Linked DNA regions of Medicago truncatula. The protein of the gene in region 2 interacts with the protein of the main gene of each other region in a pairwise test. Links are inferred from orthologs where the notes say so. Each region holds a gene or a part of one and is shown on either strand. Other genes may lie near its edges.

What was found.
Region 1: the proteins of mitogen-activated protein kinase homolog MMK1 (region 2) and ethylene-responsive transcription factor ERF104 interact in binary tests that used the Arabidopsis thaliana proteins (3 or more experiments, as listed by UniProt). The link is inferred for Medicago truncatula from reciprocal best matches to the Arabidopsis thaliana genes MPK6 and ERF104.

The regions. Positions count from the first base shown.
Region 1 is NC_053042.1:19,257,367-19,268,347, reverse strand, and holds ethylene-responsive transcription factor ERF104, read left to right. Parts: upstream 1-6,156; 5' UTR 6,157-6,300; coding exon 6,301-6,996; 3' UTR 6,997-7,479; downstream 7,480-10,981.
Region 2 is NC_053045.1:42,368,072-42,379,845, reverse strand, and holds the start of mitogen-activated protein kinase homolog MMK1, read right to left. Parts: upstream 4,748-11,774; 5' UTR 4,587-4,747; intron 4,434-4,586; 5' UTR 4,412-4,433; coding exon 4,203-4,411; intron 4,032-4,202; coding exon 3,902-4,031; intron 1,684-3,901; coding exon 1,546-1,683; intron 1,438-1,545; coding exon 1,105-1,437; intron 1-1,104. UniProt on the Arabidopsis thaliana protein: Mitogen-activated protein kinase (MAPK) which regulates abscisic acid (ABA) responses in a MAPKKK20-MKK5-MPK6 cascade involved in root growth (e.g. root cell division and elongation) and stomatal response.

The DNA.
Region 1 (10,981 bases), on a different chromosome or scaffold from region 2:
TTGAAAACCTTCATGTTGTACTGTGCATTATCAATAATCACATGATAAAAATTTGGTGATTGTACAGCCACTCCTTGTGATTGTTTGTTTGTATCTTGTGCATCATCATCATTAGCAACAAGCATTTCCTCTGGTTGTTTGTTTGTGTCATTCACCTTAAGTGCATTCAATGTTGGCATCTCTGTATCCTTGGGAGGATCATGAATGGTGATCGGTTGTTTGGAATAATTCTCCTTGGGCTCGAGCAAGTTTGACACGTACTGAGTCTCCCTTAATGCAAGGTTTGATCATCATTGACAAGAGTTTGCACAAAGGTGTGTTGTTATTGTTTTTTTTTAACAAACAAAAATGATATGTATTATAAACAAGTTGTTTAGTTACCCTGCAAAAGGTAAACCAACCAACACAAAACAACAAGATGGTGTCGTTCTTAATAAAGCACCAGGAAAGAGTTATAGTCAATTACACAGTAACATCCATACAAGGAAGTGGATTTTTCCACCAATCATGATAACTATAATTAAAAGATATCTGCGGAATAATCACAAGCTTCATTTTGGAACACACAGTTGTTTCTTTCCTTCCAAATAGCCCACACGGTAGCAAACCAAATTATTTTCAAGGAGTAGGTGGCTCTAGGCAATCTAGCCATATTAGTAAATTGAAGTAAATGTTGTCGACTTTCACCTGGGAGCACCGCAGAAAGACCCATCCAATGTAACACATGGGACCAAAGCAAACTAAAAGTGTTGCAACCAAAAAATAAATGGGATGCGGTTTCTGGTTCACCGCAACCAAACACACAAACCGAGTCAGATATCAGCAAAGCACGTCGCCGCACCAAATTATCTCGTGTGGGCAATCTATTCCGTAGGAAGCGCCACGAACAGACACCTTTGAAGGGATAAACTTGTGCCATACATCAACTACCATCGACCTGTCCACCGGGTTACCATTGTTGGTGAGAAAGTTGTAAGCCTCCCGAACTGTGTAACGATGAGAAGGATGTAATAACCACCTCCTGCACCGTGTGTTGTTATTTTATTTTTTTTTGTAAACTCGGTATCCGACGTGTGTTGTTATTCTTGTTGGTGGTGATGAGGCTCCTTGGGCTCATTGACAGAATTCATACATCTCCAAGTGCATATCGGCAAATCAATGGCCATGGTGGCAAAGCCCTAGGTCAGAAAGGGCGACACCTACTACAGTAACCACTGATCTCCAATCTGAACATGATTGATTGACTCAAGCAGGCTGCAGTTACAACGTGACTTGATTTGCACCAAAATAATCCACCGATGAATTAAATAATATTAACACAATACACTGAAAATAATGAAAATGATGGATGGAAGCAATTGATGATGCCCACCAACCGAATTGCAAGATGCAAATGTTGATCAGTGGAAACAAGATGGAATAATGTATATATTCATGTAAAATTGCTCATATAATTTTGATAATCGACACTCATGTTAGGGAAACCTAGCAGACTTTAAAAGTGTTGAACAAAACATAACCGTAGAGATCCTTAAACATTATTACTGATTGCTGAAAATTAATAATTTATTACGAATAATTCTTTATTTCGTATGCCACTTTCCAACATTATCAGTACAAAATTCTAATTCTTTAACTAGTAAATTATGTGATTTCTCCTGTCTTCAATATAAAACATATGGGTGATCGACGCATGGTAAGGTGAAGATTACTAAGTTTCATATCTGAATTTTCAAGAATATGGACGATTTTTGAATGCACAAAGCAATTTATGGAGAACAAATATTGAACATTCCTAAGTTTTTTGGAGAAGGATATGATTTTATTTATATTTTTATAAAAAAAAATTAGTTATTCACCATCTTTCAATAACAATTGATGTTGTTCATTCATCCTCTTCATTGATCTAATCTTCAAAAACAACTCCTCTTTCTCAATTTAACTAAAGGGAATTCCTTCAACTTCCAACTTGGTTACCTTAGCCTCCAAGGTTGTCTTCTCATCGGATAAACCCTCTGCCTAGGCTTTATATTCACTTTTCCTGTGAGGTTCATTCTGCTTAGAAGCAATCGCCTAGCTATCATCCTTCTTGGCGAGCCTCGTCAACTTCTCTTGAAGGTTAGACATGGCGTATGCGAGCAAGACAAGAAAGCTAAGTTAATAACCAATGCACAAAAACAAAATATATATCAAGTTAAAAAAATACAAACTTTACATAGCAAGGTCCTTGCCTCTAAGGCATTCGAACACCTGACAAGCTTGAAGTTGTCGATGAAACAGGGCTCGGTAATAGGCGAACCCTCAAAGTCATACAGAGACTCCTACTTTACTGACTACGACTGCATAAGGGATTAGGCTAAAATCATAAGCCCATAACTTATTATAGTTATTGGTCTCCTTCGCCCACAACTGCTCGTGAAACTTTTTAAATCGGTTAAACCAATTTAAAAAGTGATTGGACCGATCTAATGAAATGACATTTTGTAACGCCCTAGTCATTATTTTATTTATTTTAGAATTATTTAGAGTCTTTTATGTGTTTTTAAATAATATTTGTGATTTATGTGGTGTGTATTATTTTATTATATGATTTATTTTAATATAATGAGAATAATATGAGAAATAGAGTTATTTTGGAGTGTGGGGAGTTAATTAAGAATTAATAGAATTAAGGGGAGTTTAATGAAATAAAGGGGAGTTAAGTTTTGGAAGTTAAGAAAAAGAGAAGTCAGAAAAACGTTTTACGTGAAACAAGTTTTGGGAGAGAAGAACCAAGAACAAGGGGAGAGAAGAACAAGTAGAGCCAAGATCATCCGTGTGTCGTGCGATTTTCTGAATTAAGGTATGGGTGAGACTATCTCTCAATAATCATAGTATATAATTTCTGAAAATTGATCTAATTGAATTGTTCTTGAATAAAAATTGGGAATTAGGGTTGATGCTGATTTTGAAGGAAATGGTGTAAGAATCATGTTTAATGTGTTTAGTTTTCGTGTTCAGAATGATTTCTTAATCTATAATGTTGCTGTGATCAGAATTTGAGGGAGATTAGAATTGGTTGGGAAAATTGGAGAGGTTTTGTATGATTGCTAGAATGATCAGAATTGTTGTTGTTGATGTCTGTTTTGTGTTCCTTTAGATGCCTAGTTGTGTATTGAACCTGTAAACATCTGTTGGAAAACGTTTTGGGTGATCAGGGGACTAAAATTGGGTTTTGGAGTGAGGAGAGGTTTGAACCCGTAGGTTTTTGCACTGCCCAGATGAATGGTCGCTTAAGCGAACGACCCGTCGCTTAAGCGAGCATTCAAGCAAGCTGCCCAGAATTCTGTTTTGTCAGTTCGCTTAAGCAAACTGTGAGCGAGCCTGTAAGCAAAAAAATAATTCCATTCTGTCAAGAGTTCGCTCAAGCGAACTGTAAGCGAACCCGTAAGCGAAAAATCAATTTCATTCTGTCAGAAGTTCGCTTAAGCGTACCGTTAGCGAGCGGAACCCCAACTTTCTGTAAGCTGGTCGCTTAAGCGAACTAGCCGTCGCTTAAGCGAAGATGACCTTAGTCAGCCACCTTTTGAACTTTTGCCTCGTGCACTAGGGGATTCTTTTGAGTATTTTTAAATGTTCCTTTCAACTTGTAAGACCATTATATATACCCTGAATCCTACTTAACACATTGTTAATCGAATTGGTGGAATTTAATGAATTTTCGGATTGGAGTGAGTATGAAACCAAGTGAAAATATACTATGTTGAATGAACTTGATGTATTAGTATGATTGTTATTAATTATACATTTTTCTGATGTTGGATTGGTTTGTAATGATGTTGTTGAATTATGGAGTCGTATGTCATATATATATATATATATATATATATATATATATATATATATATATATATATATATACATTGTCGGGTTGTATGTAGATATACACAAGTGAAGTCAGTTGCATAAGCATAAAAGCGGGAGGGCTTCGGCCCTGGAACGCCTTGTCGTTCAAAGCGGTGGAACTCTTGTTGTTCAAAGCGGTGATGACTTATGTCCTGAAGGAATGCTTTAACCATTCAATAGCGGTCAGGACCTATGTCTTGAACGAATGCTTTAACCATTCAATTAGCGGTGAGGGCTTCGGCCCTGAATATGGTACCACATGCATAGTTGCAATTGTCGAGGAGTCTTAGAGGTGTTGTCATGTCATTGCATGAGTCGTTGTTGTTGGTTGAATTGCTATATTAATGATGATGTTGTTGATTATGAAATACTTATGCATATTGAATAATCATTGAAATTTTAGGGTGTTAGATTCAGTTGATGTTATTATATATTATTATTATTGTTTGTGAATCTCACCCCTTCTGCTTGAAAATGTTGCCCTTCCTATGGGTAACTTGCAAGTGATCCTGAGTAGCAGGTGGTGGCTCAAGTGTCTAGGGCTCTGATACGTACGGGATGGGAATTTCTTATTTGTTTTTCATTCCTTATGTATCAATTGTTGGAATTTGCTGATGTAGCCCTATGCTTGATTTTGTTGGATTTATTTTGATGAGGCTTTTATGCCAATATATTTTATGGAGGATTAAACGGTTAATGTTGTCGTTTTGATGCAAATATTCCGCTGCAAAATAATGATATTTTTGAAGGATGTTTTATTAAATAGTTTTATATTCTATTTAAGAAAATTTGAAAAATGAAGTGTGACATGCCCGTTTGGGTTATTACTCTGATGAATTATTTATTAATTAATTTCTTTGGGATAACGAGGTGTTACAATTGGTATCAGAGCAGGTTGGTCCGTCCGGCCAAGTAGTAGAGTCGTGTTGAGCCACCTAGGATAGAGTGTCAACTCTAATGTTGTCTTTGTTGTTGTTCTGAATGGTTGTTTCTTATGTAGAACTTTGAAATGGCTGGTCGTAATGATGAGAGGAGGCCCAAGAGGAGAGATGCTCCTGCTGAGATTGTTTGCTACAAGTGTGGTGAGAAAGGCCACAAAAGTAATGTTTGTACTAAAGATAAGAAGAAATGCTTTAGGTGTGGACAGAAGGGACACACATTAGCTGATTGTAAGCGGGGAGACATAGTTTGCTATAACTGCAATGAGGAGGGCAATATCAGTTCATAGTGTACACAATCGAAGAAGGTTAGAACCGGTGGTAAAGTGTTTGCTCTGACTGGTACGCAAACCACTAGTGAGGATCGACTTATCAGAGGTACTTGTTTCTTTAATAGTACTCCTTTAATTGCTATTATAAACACTGGTGCTACTCATTGTTTCATTGCTATTGAATGTGCTTATAAGTTGCGTCTGGTTGTATCTGATATGAGAGGGGAAATGGTTGTTGAAACTCCAGCTAAGGGTTCAGTAACTACTTCTCTTGTTTGTCTAAGGTGTCCGTTGTCTATGTTTGGTAGAGACTTTGAAGTCGACTTAGTTTGGTAGAGGATTAAACGGTTAATGTTGTCGTTTTGATGCAAATATTCCGCTGCAAAATAATGATATTTTTGAAGGATGTTTTATTAAATAGTTTTATATTCTATTTAAGAAAATTTGAAAAATGAAGTGTGACATGCCCGTTTGGGTTATTACTCTGATGAATTATTTATTAATTAATTGCTTTGGGATAACGGGGTGTTACACACTTAACTACCGTTTTGTGGCAAACGACAGTCTACTACTACGCATCCAACGGTAGTTGCATTTTTTGAGCAGTTAGTGGGTGCCTAAAGAGCAACTCTCTTCTCTTAGGCTTCACATATGTTGGGTTACTAGGCCCAATGGACTCTTCAACTATTGGATCGATAAACTCTTCAGCTGATGGTGGAGAATTGCTATCACACACACATAACCAATTTTATCAAAATATTTTAAAGTATGTATACCTATGCATTCCAAATCAATCAACTAAAACCAAAACCACAGGCAGAGCAAGCATTAGGTAGGAAGTCGCCGGGAAGAGTCATTTGGTGAAGTTGTGGTCCCCTTTGTCATCACAAAGTCAAGTTAAGATTTGAAAACAACCAAAACGACAATATTGTCACCAAGACCATTAATTATTGATATATACAAAGTAACAAAACGATGCTTCCTCTCTCCATCTTGGAATCTCTATAGAAGGCAACATTTTATTTACTTTATTGCTTTCTTTTAGTTTATTTCTTCTTTTCTTCCATTATAACCCCCTCATATTTATATACTCTTCACTCCTTATTTTCCACTCAACCAATTCCTCTCTCCATTCTAAATTTAGCACACTCCTCTCTTAAGTCTTAATCCTCTTCAAAAAAACAGAACAACCTCAATTTAGAAGTATGGAACAAAACATAGAATTCACTTTTTGGTCCTCAAACAACCTAGAAATTCAAAATTCAATTTCTCAAAGCAATAACATGAAACAAACACAAACCCATTTTCAAATCCCTCAAACCACTTTCTCCAAACCTCCAAGGTCATCCTCAAACCTAAGCAACCGCAAACCCTCCTTGAACATCACAATCCCTTCTATAACAAAACCTCTCCCACAACAAAACATAGTAAAAAGTGAAAACACCAACACCAAAGAGGATAATAAGCACTATAGAGGTGTTAGAAGAAGAACATGGGGAAAATTTGCTGCAGAAATCCGTGACCCTAATAGAAAAGGATCAAGAGTATGGCTTGGAACCTTTGATACAGCCATAGAAGCTGCAAAAGCTTATGATAAAGCTGCTTTCCAGATGAGAGGAAGTAAAGCCATATTGAACTTCCCTCTAGATGTTGCTACTGATTCTGTAGAATCATCACTTTCTAACTGCATCAAAGTTGGTAAGAAAAGACAAAGAGATGAAGGGAACTGTGTTGAGATTAATAATAATAATAATAATATTAAGCAAGTTAAGAAAGAAGAAGGGGTTTTAGCTGCTCCTTTGACTCCTTCATGTTGGAAAGGGTTTTGGGATACTGATGTTATGGGAACTATCTTCAGTGTTCCTCCTTTGTCACCCTTATCTCCACTCATGGGATTTTAAGATTAATTAATTAAGCCCTTGTAATAAACCAAGTTGTTTGGACTTCGGTGATAAGGAACTCCTTCCAAGAACATACCTGAGGAATACTGGGTTCGATTTCCAGGGGAAGCAATGCTTGGCTAGTGCGCATGCCTCTACACATGAGCCAGATTAGTCGCTCACCTTTGATGGGTTGAAAACCGATGCTAAAGCCAAAAAAATAAAATTAAGCCCTTATAATCATGTTAAGGTGTTAATTAAAGTCCTTAAAGCCCTTATCTCCACTCATGGGATTTGTATCACATATATACTAGTTGTTGAAATAGGAGGAGTGTTAATAGTATATTTTTGTAGGTGAAGATTAGATATATATTGGTTGGTTTTAATTTTAGTGTAAATATAGGAAGATTGAAGCTAGTGTTTAATTCTTTTATGTATGTCCATTTGGTGAAAGAATATTGAAATTTGTTTATTCGTTTATTGGAGAAAACGTTGTCCATGAAACTACAGTGTATGTATGTAACTTATGTTATAATTCTGCATCTTTGAAGCAAAAAACTTGGCACACACATGCAATCATTGTGGTAGACACACATCCTGTGATGCGTTTCTCATACATGCTTTATAGAATTTTTATTCTTGTCAATTTTTAACTAGCTTCAATTCATTAAAATAAGATGCTAAAATTAATTAGAAATTATATTTGATCCATATGACATGGCAGTGCGGAAAACCGCATGAGAGAGGATGTATTCATGACTAAAGCTCTTGATATTTGTCCGGGTCAATTCGTCGATATTATAGGAAAGACTATGATATTTAATTTGAGGCCTGAAAAATATAAAACCGGGTCATTTTGGTATGCATGCTATCCCCAACTATATGCAATCTTTCATTTTGAAGAGAAATATATAAAAAAATACTTGTAAAAGTGTCACATATCCTTACCGATAAATCTAGGGTCGGATACCAAGTTGTTGGGTATTGGGCTCCCTTCCTATGTGGAGAAAAGACTAAATATGTTAGTTCATTATATCTCACTTATATAAGTATCTTCTTATATATCTTCTTATATATTAAAGTTAACATGTAAGTCCTAATTTTAACTTAAATCCTAATCTTCTTATCTTCTTATATATTAAAGTTAACATGTAAGCCCTAATTTTAACCTAAACCCTAATCTTCTTATATATTAAAGTTAACATGTAAGCCCTAATTTTAACCTAAACCCTATTGCATAATTTTACTGTTTTAACCCTAATGCTCACACCTAATCTCCTATTTTCATGAACAACCCTAATGCTCTCACCTAATCTTCTTATATATTAAAGTTAACATGTAAGCCCTAATTTTAACCTAAACCCTATTGCATAATTTTACTGTTTTAACCCTAATGCTCACACCTAATCTCTTCTTATATATTAAAGTTAACATGTAAGCCCTAATTTTAACCTAAACCCTATTGCATAATTTTACTGTTTTAACCCTAATGCTCACACCTCTTCTTATATATTAAAGTTAACATGTAAGCCCTAATTTTAACCTAAACCCTAATCTTCTTATATATTAAAGTTAACATGTAAGCCCTAATTTTAACCTAAACCCTATTGCATAATTTTACTGTTTTAACCCTAATGCTCACACCTAATCTTCTTATATATTAAAGTTAACATGTAAGCCCTAATTTTAACCTAAACTCTATTGCATAATTTTATTGTTTTAACCCTAATGCTCACACCTAATCTCATATTTTCATGATCAACCCTAATGCTCTCACCTAATCTTCTTATATATTAAAGTTAACATGTAAGCCCTAATTTTAACCTAAACACTATTGCATAATTTTACTGTTTTAACCCTAATGCTCACACCTAATCTCCTATTTTCATGAACAACCCTAATGCTCTCACCTAATCTTCTTATATATTAAAGTTAACATGTAAGCCCTAATTTTAACCTAAACCCTATTGCATAATTTTACTGTTTTAACCCTAATGCTCACACCTAATCTCCTATTTTCATGAACAACCCTAATGCTCTCACCTAATCTTCTTATATATTAAAGTTAACCCGTAAGCCCTAATTTTAACCTAAACCCTATTGCATAATTTTACTGTTTAAACCCTAATGCTCACACCTAATCTCCTATTTTCATGAACAAAGCAAATCGGCATCGCTTTATCTCCCCTATTTCTTCAAAACAAATCGCCCTATTTCTTCAACAAAACAAATCGCCCTATTGGAATATAAGGGTTTTGAAAGATTATAGCAATATTTTTTTTTGTTAATATTACACTTTTCATCCAAATTAGAACTGAACTCTCTTTGTTAAATATTTACCACAAAATGCACCAGAATTTTGCAATCTATATAAACAGGTGGAAGAAACATTTCAACAAACAGTTAAAGGGTATCATTTATGGTAAAGGCCAAATATTCGATAAAAGGAAAATTATTTAAATAAAACATTTTACATGTTGAGGTTAAGAATGAGCTATTTTTTGGTACATAATATAACATTAACATATAATTTTTACAAAAGAATGAAGTAACATTTTGTCAAAAAAAAAAAAGATGAAGTAACATACCAATAATATAACGTTGACATATAATTTTAACAAAAGAATGAAGTTACACACGATTGATAAAAATTAATATTTTTCAGGTGAATAAGTGTGGTGTATGAGGTTCGAATTCCAACATCTGCATATATTTGGACCACATATTTCATTCTCTTTGATATGCATTAAGATTTGTTTTTGTCTACTACATCTACAATGTATATGACTCGTGCGGCAGCACGGGTGGAAAGTCTAGTAGAGATGTCATATTAGGATTAAGGAGATAGTGTTTTTGTGAGAAAAGTAGCCACCAAAATGAGAGAAGAGAAGAGAGAAAGTCAATCCCAATGGATCTGAATGATTTTGGAGAGCAGGTTCGCAACATCTGGTTTTACCTTTTCACCGTTCGGATCGTCGAAACCAGGTCTGAGATGAGAGAAAGTTGTCTCGCACTGAAGCAGTACTTTTGGGTATTTTCATCTTTTTTGTTCTCATTTATAAGCTTTGTTGCTTTGTTGTTCCGGCTAGTTGTTGGCACTATTTGCGCATCACTTTTGAGACTCTCTTATATCCATATTTGATTATAGTGGTGTTGTTTCATTGGTATGGATGACTCGTGGTTTTTACCCTTACATTGAGGGGTTTTCCACGTTAAAATATCAATGTTCACTTGTGTCTTTTATTTGCTTTCACTGCTGTCATTTATTTATTGTTGCTCCTCATAGATTCTTGCAAGTTTGCTACACGCTACAAACAGCAACATGTATGTCCTAAGAGCACAATCAAGCTTGTCAGTCTAACGATACTTGTCAAACAAACCATGCCACCATTCTTGAGTATAATAGCCACCCCTGGTTCTCATATTCTTCCGTAGCCTCATAATAAGTTATTAGAGATATAGATTAGTAGCATATTAGTCCTAGTAGAGAGTAGTATAAATAACTTGTAACCACCCCATTAGAGGGAACTTTTCTCATTTTGTAATATTCAATTTTCATCAATAGAAAGAGTTTCTTAGTTTTCTCTCCTTCCTTTCATGGATGCCATGTTTTCTAACATGGTATCAGAGCTAATCTGGTATCCACCTTGAAGGATTTTTTCCGCTGCATTTTCTAGAGAAAATTCAATTTTCTCATGGTTCGTTGCTTTCTCAATTCCTTTTCTTTCATTGTTATTTTTCTTCCTTTACTTTCTCGAGACAATTTCTCCTCTACCATTTCATTTTTGATTCTGTTACAATCTCAAAATTGACATTCAATTTCAGTTTTATTTTCCAGTTTCCTTTATCGCTTCATTTTCTTCGTACTTCAATTTTCCGTTATTTTCCTTCACTTTCTCGAGAAACCTAAATTCTTCTTAGTTAGTGAAATTGTTCATATTGTTTCTTCTATTAATTCCATCTATTCGATTCTGATTCCATTTCTTATCTCTTCGCTGATTTTTTT
Region 2 (11,774 bases):
GGACGGGCTAACAAGATACATAAATACTCCTATAGAAAAATCAAATAATGTCCAAACTATATATATCCATATCATCGTTTTGAACTATGTTGTAAATCCCAAAAAATGGAGTAAACATAAATTCCAACAAGATACATAAATACTCAAATAGAAAAATATAAAAAATTAAAAGGGACAATTATACTTTTTTTTTATTTTTAAATAGGGACAATTATACTTAATAATTCAATTTAACTGACATTTAATAATTTATTTTAAATTATACTATGTATGTATATGAATAATTTTTTGAAGTTAATTATACTCTATTACCCACAGTAAACATCTGTTAGACATTGCGAACATACTTGGCACATTGTGTGGTTTATAACAGGCCCATTATGTGAAACAAACCCTAAAGCTACAATGTCCATTCTCTAAACCCTAAATATAAAACATCATCCCCAATAGGTGTGTATCAGTCACCGCCTCCACACTGTCTGTTGTGCCCCTCCATGTTTTCGTCCTCATACCACATTTCTTCTTTCTTTTTCGTTTCTTCTCAATAGATAAGGATGGTGGTCTGAAAACCGCAGATTGTGACCGGAAAGTCTTCTACTTGATGGAAACGCAGCCGCGGTTCGCAGCCGCTAACACTGCAACTGTTGCAGATGAATAAAGAGTATTGCACCGAATGTCATTGCCACTCCGCAAGTGCGGCGCCATTAAAAACATAGGTTAGAATGAAGGTGTTGAAATATTCTGTAATTATTTATTCCAATGAGAATGGTGCTCCTTTCATCGGAGAGAGTGCATAAAAACACTTCATAAATTAATGAGTGATTTAAGGAATTGAAATAAAACAAAATAAATGTCAGATCAAATAGTATCAAGGCTAACAATGACAATATTTCAACAAAAGGATCTGATGGTACTCAATAATTGACATAATTTAATGAAATTTAACCTGACTAATTATTATACTCAAGAATGATACTGCGATGAATTTCAATTCAAGAATGTGTTGGTTTCAAAATCAGCAGGTTAATCATTTGAACTACAAAAGCTAATGAAATCAATAACTCTTAAACTTCTTCAAACACCAAAGACGGATAAAGAAGTTACCTCCATGAGTAGACGCAGCTGATGCACGTGATCTCTGCCAGGAAACAAAGGCTTTCGATCCATCAGTTCCATGAAAATACAACCAACAGACCATACATCAATTGCTGCTGTATAATCAGAAGAGTTTAACAGAAGCTCTGGTGCACGGTACCATCTAGTAACAACATATTCAGTCATAAAATCGGTTTCAGATGTTACACGGGCCAGTCCAAAATCACAAATCTTTAAGTCACAGTTGGCGTTCAGGAGAAGGTTGCTGGGTTTTAAGTCCCTATGCAGAACATTTGCAGAATGTATGTACTTCAAACCACGAAGGATTTGGTACAGAAAGTACTGCAGAAGAAGCAAAAAAAGGAGCTTATAATGGTGTCATGGATAAGATTTAATAATCTCCGCGATAAATAGGTTATTTTAAAAGGGGTGGTTTATTTAAATGTATACCTGACAGTGCTCCTCCGATAGTGCTTGATTTGATCGAATGATTTGGTGAAGGTCAGTGTCCATTAGCTCATATGCAATGTAAACATCATTGAATACCTCCCTCTGGGGTGGTGGCACTATATCCCTGATTGCAACCACCTACAAAATAATTACATTAGGCAAACCAAAATGCCAGTTAAAACAAGAATTTCTAATGCTAACAAGTTTTGGTATTTCTCCTCATGAAGATATTGGACACCCCGTTTGTCCTGCATCCAGCCCCTAAAATATAAGACACGCTATAGACTTATATGACCAAAGAATGAACACATTTTTCCCTTTTGTCGCTAAAATTACAAAACAAAAAGTAGCAACCCTTCTGTATAGAAAACCAGCGTCTATCAACCGGCACACGTGTAGTAAATTGCAGATCACAAAAATTAGCATTTTGTTCGAATTTCGCTATGCTACAATGATATAGCACCGCAATAGCGGCTATTTGACAACACTTTGTACTAAATAGAGGATCGCAGAACAATAGCTATTTGTTCCAAATTCTGCTATGCTATAGCGCCACTATATCAGCTATTTGATAGCACAGACCGGCACTACACAAGCGACAAGTGTCATGTTTGGCATATTGTAAAAAGCATCTAAAGTCAAACAAAAAATCAATAAAATACGCATGTTAAGACAGTGTCTGAATGGAAAATAACTGCTCCATCCAAGATTCCTTGCAAGAGGATAAACTAATCAATGATTGCAAGAATATCAAATAGAAACACGCGCTCTTCATTAAGTAAAAAAAAAAAGCGCTCATCATTGATTTTCCTTTTGGACAGAATTTTGTCGTGTCAAACTTTTTAATTTAATTACAGAAAAACATTCTATCATCCGGCACCAGTGATAACAATCGCATAGTGCAAAAAACAGTGTTTTATTCAAATTCTGCTATGCTACCGTGCTATAGCACCACAATAGCGGCTATTTGACAACACTTTGTACTAAATAGCGGATCGCGGAACAATAGCGGCTAATTGAGAACACTTTGAAATAAATAGCGGATCGCGGAACAATAGTGGCTATTTGAGAACACTTTGAAATAAATAGCGGATCGCAGAACAATAGCTATTTGCTCAAATTCTGCTATGATATAGCGCTGCTATATCTGCTATTTGACAACACTGACCGGCACTACACAAACGACAAGTTACGTGTATCGTAAAAAGCATCTAAAGTCAAATGTAAAATCAATAAATTACGCATGTTAAGACAGTGTCGGAATGGAAAATAACTGCTCCATCCAAGACTCCTTACAAGAGGACAAACTAATCAATGATTGCAAAAAAAAAGTGTTTCGTTCGAATTCTGCTATGCTACCGTTTTATAGCTTCGCAATAGTGGCTATGCCTATTTGACAACACTTTGTACTAAATAGAGGATCGCGGAACAATAGCTATTTGTTCCAATTCTTCTATGCTATTGAGCTGCTATATTCACTATTTGACAACACTCACCGGCACTAAGCGACAAGTAAAATACGTGACGTGTGTATTATAACATAAAAAGCACCTAAAGTCACGTGCAAAATCAATAAAATACGCGTGTTAAGACAGTGCCAAGATGGAAAATAACTGCTACATAAAAGAGGATAAACTAATCAATTATTGCAAGGATATCAAACAGTAATAGGCGTTCATCATTGATTTTCCTTTTGGAATGAATTTTGTCGTGTTGTTTACGATTCACACCCAATCTTGCACGCGCCACTAATTGTCAACGGCAATGATTTACTTTTCATAAATGCCAATCAAGTAAGTATGATATATAAAACAAACAAATGCATATTGGTCTCAATATCAACGACAATAATTTTACTTTTGGTAAATACGGATCAAGCAAGTATGATATATAAAACTAACAAATGCATTTTGGTCTCAATGTTTGTATAACCCATCGCGGTTTGTTTCAGCGGAAGCAATTGAAGAAAAACATTTTCCGATGCATATTTTACCAAATTAAGTTATTCTTGCTTCCACTAAAATCCTGCCCGAAACCTTACAAAAGCTAAAACAAATGGGCAAACAGATGTAAGGAACTAATGGATGTAGCCTTGAAGCCATTAACTAACCCCCTAAGTAGCTTCAAAGCTAAAATTGTTTCACAGCTAAAAAGGAACACGTAACACATATACCATTTACATCATATGAACAAAATGGTTGATTGATTTTGAAACACTCAAACACACAGATCAGGATCCAATAAACAAGTTAATCTCAAACCACAATAGATAGATATCATGCAACAAAGTATACTTATTCAATCATCACACACACACATACAAAACAAAAAAAACAATGATTTATTACTCACTAACGTTTTCATGATCCATATGGCGAAGCAGCTTGATTTCACGGAGAGTCCTCTTAGCATCAATCTTGTTGTCAAATGCATTTGCAATCTTCTTAACCGCAACATGTTCATTTGTCTCCGAATTATGAGCAGAGCTATTCACATACACCCCAAAATGAAACACAAAACCATAAACAAAATCCATTTTTCCAATCCCAACAAATAAAAAAATAATAAAAATCAAATTTTCATATAAAAAAAAAAAACAAACTTTATGATGAATTTGATCTGAAAAATGAAAAAGAGAAAAAAAGGGTATAACATACCAAACAATACCATAAGCGCCTTTACCGATTGGCATGATGGGTGGTTTGTATTTTGCAGTAACTTCAAAAATGTTACCGAAAATGTTGTATTGAATGAACCTACCCCCATGGCTAAGGGTTGCCGGAATATTCTCGATCCCCATCTGCGGCGGCGCCGGTGCAGCATCTGACATCACGGTGTCAGCTGGTGGAGCTCCTCCTCCTTCCATTGTTGTTTCTCTTCTTCAAGCTCTGAAAAATTTGATTTTTATTTTGTTTTGTTAAGAAGAGAGAGAAAAAATGGTTAATGGGTGTTTTTGTTATTACTATGAAAAAAATGAATACGATGATGTTTGATGATGATGTTGGAAATTGGAGAGTTTAAGATTAGAAGTAAGAAAGAACCTGATTTGTGTTGTGAATGCTTTTGGTCAAACAGATCTGTACTATCTCTCCCTAACTCCTGCATAAACTGTCACCTCTCTCTTTTATATAATGTCTCTCTTTTTTTCTCTCTAATGAATATGACAATGAAAATTAATTTTAAGGTTAAGGATGTTAAGGATAATGTTCGGTTTAAGACAAAAATAAACCTTAGATTGAAATAGTGTTTATAAAAGTAACCAAAAAAAAATAGTGTTTATAAAAATATTTACATTTTCTAAAGATATTAAAAGGTATGTATGCGTAAAATTCCGTTTCAATAGATGTCTTTTTACCACTAAATTTACCTTATGGTTGTGTTTGCGAATTGGTTTTTTGAGAATTTTGGAGGGAAGATTTTGGAGAGTTAAATTTATATTTTGATATATGTTTGATGTTTAAAAAGAATATTGCGATATTACATGTCAATGTATCATATTAAAGTTGTGTATCTTTTATATTTATTTTGATCGTATTTAAACTTACGGTGAGGGGATCATGCACATGCACATGCACATGCACGAAAGACATCATAGGGTTTAAATACAAATTATAATGTGATTGCATTTACTCTTTTTAAAGATATTAACGGAACTCAGACATTAGACTTCATGATCTTACCACTTAAACTAACCTTTGGAGTTTTTGTTGTTGTTGTTGTTGTTCGTTTTTTCTTCTTCTTTCATTTCCCAAAATCCCTTTCTCTCTAAACCTCTCTTTGGTAAGAAATGTTGGATAATTGATAAGCTAACTTATAACGAATGAGGTTATAACGCTTAGCTTATAAGTTAGCTTGTAATTTCCTGATAAATTAGCCATTTAAATTTATAGTGATTCACAAAATTAATGGTTGAACTATTTTATAAATATGAAACGACGTAAAAAGATATGTTTAATTAACATATAATTTTTGCCAACTACGATGATCACGTATAAAATTGAGAAAAAAAATAATATGCGATAAGTTTTAAAGTAGAAATTAATTTAATTATCTTACCAAAATAAGTTATAAGTTAGTAAAAATAAACAATATACTTGTGAGGAAAAAAAATGTTACCAAATGAGTTTTTTTATTGTAAAAGTTAGTTTTCTGACTGCACCGTAGAAGCTCCTACTTATAATTCTTTTCGTAATTTTGGATGGATCGATGTGTTTCAGCTAGTACTTTCTTTCATGATATTATTGTTCATTAAAAATCCTTATCAAAAAGGGAAATTATTAGATTTTTAAACATTTGAAATATATTAAATGCTTTAATTTATATTTAATATATTTATATTTGGATTCTATAATTAAATTTCTACCGGTTAACAAAAACTTTGCTGTTTTCCTAAAAGAAAAAACTAAAACTTTGCTATTATGCTATTGGAACAAAATTAGACATCGGTAATTATGCCTTAATGGTTAACATACAATTTCTTTTTATTTCTACTTTCCCTACAAGAATGAACAAAAAATTGACAAATAAAGAAAAACAGGTTTCGTTTTTTAATTTTCTCGTTACCTTTAATCAAAATTTTGTAAAGTGAATAATTGGGGTACAATTTCTCATCTTTTTAAATAAGAGAGTATTATACAAAAAAAAAAAATTGTTTCAAAATAAATGTCACTTTCAATTTCAAATGCAATAATAACTTTTTATTTTCAATTGTACCATTCAATTAATATTATATACACTACTTCTAAAATATTATTTTTTTCTTTAATGAAAAAAGAACCAATAGTTGATTAGCATAATTTAGTAAAATAACATTTCTCTTTCTTTTAATTAACGCATTTCTTAATTTGTGTATAAAAACATTAAACGACGTTCATTTTAAAACGGAGGGAGTAGAATATTTATAGAAAAACGTACTCCCTCCGGTCTTGTAAGAAACAAAAAAGAAATGCACACATATTAAGAAAGTGGATTGACCACATTTAAGTCATTATAAAAAGTAATATTTTTCAATTATACCATTGTTTTGGAGCAGTAAAGACATTAATGATGAAGTGGGTTTAATGAGGATAAACTTGGAATTGTGGCATTTAATAGGTTCATTTTACTATATTTTTTCTTATATTTGAGACCACCAATTTTTTTTTTTTGTGACATTTGGAATTGTGAACTTTTTTTTGAGAGAAAATTTGGAATTGTGAACTTATTATGATTATATTGCTTTTATTGCATTGAATGTTACTCTTAGGTGTGTTTGGTTAAGAAGAGAAGTTGTGAAGAGAGAAATAGGTAAGAGAGAGAAAGGGAAGAGAGAAAAAGATGAAAAATAAAGTAGATTTGATGTATTGTTTGGTAGTAGAGAGATATAAAAGAAATAGAGATGAAAGAATTGTTGATTATTTTTAAAAGTACGAAAATACCCTAATTAATAAACCTTCAATCAAAATTAATTTGTTAAATAACTTAATCCAATTTCTATTCTAAATTGTTGACGATGATGATGAATTTTTTACAAAAGATGAAGATTATTTAATTAATTTGTAATTTCATCCAAATAAATTAGAACTCATTTTTTATTCTTATTGAAACTCATCTTATTAATAAGAACAAGACGAGAAAAAAGTGAAGGTATAAGTATGAATAAACATTTAAAAAAGCCTTAATTATCTTTCACCCATGCTCCTCCTCCATATATGGCATTCACCATTTCACGTGTGCCAGAGACTTCTTCCAATCTCAACACCACTGCCTTCAAGGTCATTTACTCCTATTTTTCTATTTTGCTTAAAAAATTGTTCGTCTACCACTAACAAATGATACCTTCAACTTGTCTTCTATAACTTTCCTTTGTTTTATCCTTCATATTCCATAATCATTGTTGCAATTTGCAGGAAAGATAATAAGTCATAAATGAAATTCAAATACAAGGGTAAAAATGGAATAACAAAAATATGACCCTTCTCTCTCCCATTTCTTCTCTGTTTTGTGGAGAAAACAAAAAGCAGTGGGTCCCACAGTTTTTTAGTCTCTCTTCTCTCTTTCTCTGCATTTCAAACAGGAGAAAGTTACTATCTCTTCTCTATTTCTCTCTTCCCTCTTTCTCTCTTTCTTATTTCTCTTCAACCAAACAGACCCTTAGTTTACTATTCATCCATATCCATATTGCATTCACTGTGTTTGGTTGGTGAGAAATAGGAGAGAGAGAAATAGAGTAGAGAGAATAAGATGAGAAGTTTGGTCTTTCTTTTGTTTTGTGCAGCAGAGAAACACGGGAGACAGATTAAAAAGCCATGGGTCCCACCTCTTTTTGTTTCTTCGCTGGTTTGAGAAGAAAGAGGGGAGAGAAGCAATATATGTGTGTTATTACCACCTTACTCTTGTCTTTTACCTAGTTTCTATCACACCCTCATGTTCTCAGCTGATTTGCCATCTCAAATGATCAGTCAGTATTTGTAGATAGAGAATAGGTGGTGCAATTTGTCAATATTTTTATTATTTTTTGAAGAAATGATAAGCATTATTTTCATAAGGAAACAAGACATTTTTATTTTTTTTGGATAAAGAACCAGGAGCTAAATGATTAGAAATGGTACATGTTGGTTTTACAATTCATATGTAATTATAAAATTATATTAACGTGGTTAATATATTAAGTAATTAAATAAACTAATTAATAGATTCAAACACAAATTAAATTGAAATTTATAACCTAAGGGTATTGTAGTAATTTTAAAATTATATATTTCATTTATTCTTTTATAAAAAAAATCTATTTAGTTAAAATAAGTAGTGGAATTAATTAATTAAATGTAATTAAATAAAATAATAAATTAATTTGGTTGAAAATGTTATTCAACATAGGGGCATTGTAGTACTTTTCAAAACAGATAATACTTCTCTCTTCTCTATTTCTTCTCTCTATCTCTTATACCAAACAACCCCTCTAATCTACTCTATTTCTCAGATACTTCTCTCTTCCCATACTCTCTTACCTATTTCTCTCTTCACAACTTCTCTTCCATACCAAACACACCCTAAAATATTTTAAGGAAGTTGTGCTCTTACCTTGGGAAATTAATTCCCCTTAAAAAACTTGGGAAGTTAATTAAAACTAGAAAATATTTTTGTCAAGCATTCATGCATTATGATGTTTTTCTATAGGAGTGCTGCATGGCGATTGGAAAATGGTGATTGTCAATTAAGTGTAATTCAATTGGTATTTGGTAGTTACTACGGATATTATATGTAGAGGTTGTGGTTTGAACTCTGAATTCTCTATTTTTTCTTATATAATGTGTGTGAATCTAACCACTATGTTACTTAAAAAAATTACATATGTATATATATTGCAATGCATTTGAAATGTTCAGTTAATTTGCATTATGGAGAATTGCATGTATATCCTTCTTCAATTTTCTCTAGCCCCTCCTCCTTTCATTATATGTTATGTGTTAGGTGAAATTGGCTCCTTTTAAAGTTAAGGAGACAATGTTTTTCTTTAGAAAATAGTGTTAAGTAATAAGTTTGTTATAAATGAAAAGGGTATTGGTAAGTTGACATCATAAAATAATATTGAAAGTAAGGATGTAGCTACGGCACGAGACCATTATAAGTCTCTCACCGTGCAAAACCTTTTAATTTTTTTTTTTGTTGCAAGTTGTTTAGATACCGTTGGATTTACTTTTATAAGCAAACGGCAGGGATGGATCTAAAAGGTCCCACAAGTTGACATGTTAAAATTTGTATTGTTGATAAACATTATGGTATTTATAGTTTCATTTAAAAAGGGTGATTTAATCAATGAACAAAAATACTACTGTTGAAAAATATAGTAGAATTATGGCCTTTGGATGTTGCGGAAAGACTCTGAAACAGATGGATTTACACCGTATATAATAAAAAAATTACAAGACTGGATTTTAAAATCGTTATTAATAATTGTCCTTATGTTTGTCGGCGACGTGTCTGTCTTTTTGGTTTTTTTATTGCGCTAACACGTGTAAATTATGAATGATATTTTATATGAAATTTTGATTTTGACTAAAACTATAAGTAAAAATATTTGTGACTTTCAAATCGTAAGAAACCCAAAAAACTGTGTTTATATTTTTCAATAACAACAATAATTTAACAAATATGTAAATCTCTATCTTTTTTAATACAACAATAATATAATATTAATATAGAAAAGTTTGGTTAAAGGTATAATTGAAATTATAAAGAATTCAGCCCAAATTTTGCATCCCCTTCATATATAATCAACACTATATTTTAAAAAAGAAGAAACATATTTTGACTCTTTTAGGCTAACTTTTTTTGTTCCCAAAATTACTCTCAACTTTCAATACAAATAACACATATAACAAATAGATAAGAGTAAATTCAAATATTAAAATATAAGTGTAACAAACACGATATGAGTATATACATGTCCAATTTTTTCTCCTTTATCCTTTAGAAAGTGTAACAAATTAGATTAGTATATCTATACTTACTTATTCATTCTTCCAATTATACTCATAAACAACTTTTTTCTATAATAAAGATTGTTGCTGGTGTCATTAAAAAAAATAAGAATTTAGATTATATTTTTGTTATATTGTTGGTGTCAATCTGTAAAATAATTTCTTTAAAAATCCAGTGAACATGGAATGACATTCCTGCTACGACGATTGAAACAGACTCAACCAACTAAAAATATCAAATATAATTAATTTGACCTTTAAATATGACCTAACTGGACCAAGAATGAAGTAGGAATTGGAATTGTGGTAATACAAAATCTTTGGTATAAGTCAATCCAACAAACCATACCTCCAAAAATCAAGTCACCACAAAAAGACATTGCTCTGACCACCAAAACGGATGCAACCGAATAAAAGATGGGTACATTGAATATGACCACCAAAATCTAGTCCGAACATTTTGTATTACCACAATTTCAGTTCCTACTTCATTTTTAGTCCAATTAGGTCACATTCAACGGTCAGATTGTTTATATTTGATACCGTTAGTTAGTTGGGTCCGTTTTGGTCGTTGGAGGAATGTCATTTCGTGCTGACTAGGTTTCAAGTTCATTCTAAGTTCAATTAGGTCACATCCAACGGTTAGAACGATTTTGTTTGTTACCTTTGTCGTTTGGGTGAGTTTCATTCGACGGACAAACATACTTTCATGTCGACTAGAGTTTTGAAGTGATAGTTTGTCGGATAAACTTATCTCTAAAATTCCGATAAGTGAAATTTGCGTTCTTGGTTCATTTAGTTCAATTAGGTCATATGCAATGGTGTGAATGATTTGTGTTCATTCTGTTTGTTGTTAATTTAGGTGAGTTTCTGAAAGGATTGTTTGATAATCTTACTAAGACTGACTTCCATTATATGAGAATCTTCTTAAGAACTACTCCCTCCGTCCCTGAATAAGTGACCTATTTGTAAAAAATATTTGTCCCATAATACTTGACCTTCTCAGATTTCTAGGTAAAATTTGACAGATTTACCCCTTATAAATACTTTTTGTGGTCCACATGTTAAAGTTTGTAGTATAACAAAGAAAATAATCATTACTTAAAAGTGAAAAAGTTTCAAAATAATGACAAGGGCAACTCAATAAAAGTATCATTCTCTTTCTTTCATCTTTACACTTTTCCTAATATGTGTGAAATGGCCAAATAGGTCACTTATTCAGGGACGGAGGGAGTAATATTCTTATCTATGACAATTTTACTAAAACTAACTTTCGTACTATGATAATCTTCTTAAGAACCAAGGTTCTTAATTGTGTGACAATCTAACTAAATTCGTCGATAAACATTTTTTAAAAATTAAATCTATCGATTGATGTATTACATACTTATATGGATGTATATTAGGCAAAATATCTCTTTTGGTTTGACAAAAATAATGGGTTAATCCTTTAAGTTTTTTAAGTTTTAAACATGTTCTTATTACCTATTTTAGGATTTATTAGAAATTTAAAAACTTAAAAAACTTAAAATAGGTGCATTAGATTAACAACTTAAATGACTTATTTGAAACTTAAAAAACTTTAAAGGACCTATTTGAAACTTAGAAAACTTAAAGAACTTTTTTTATTTTTTGTACAAATTTAAAAAACTTATTTGAAACTTAAAAAACTGAAAGAATTAATCTGGTATTTTTGTCAAACTTAAAGAACCAAAAGAAGTATTTTCCTATATATTATTATTTATTAAATGAAATATTCTTAACAAA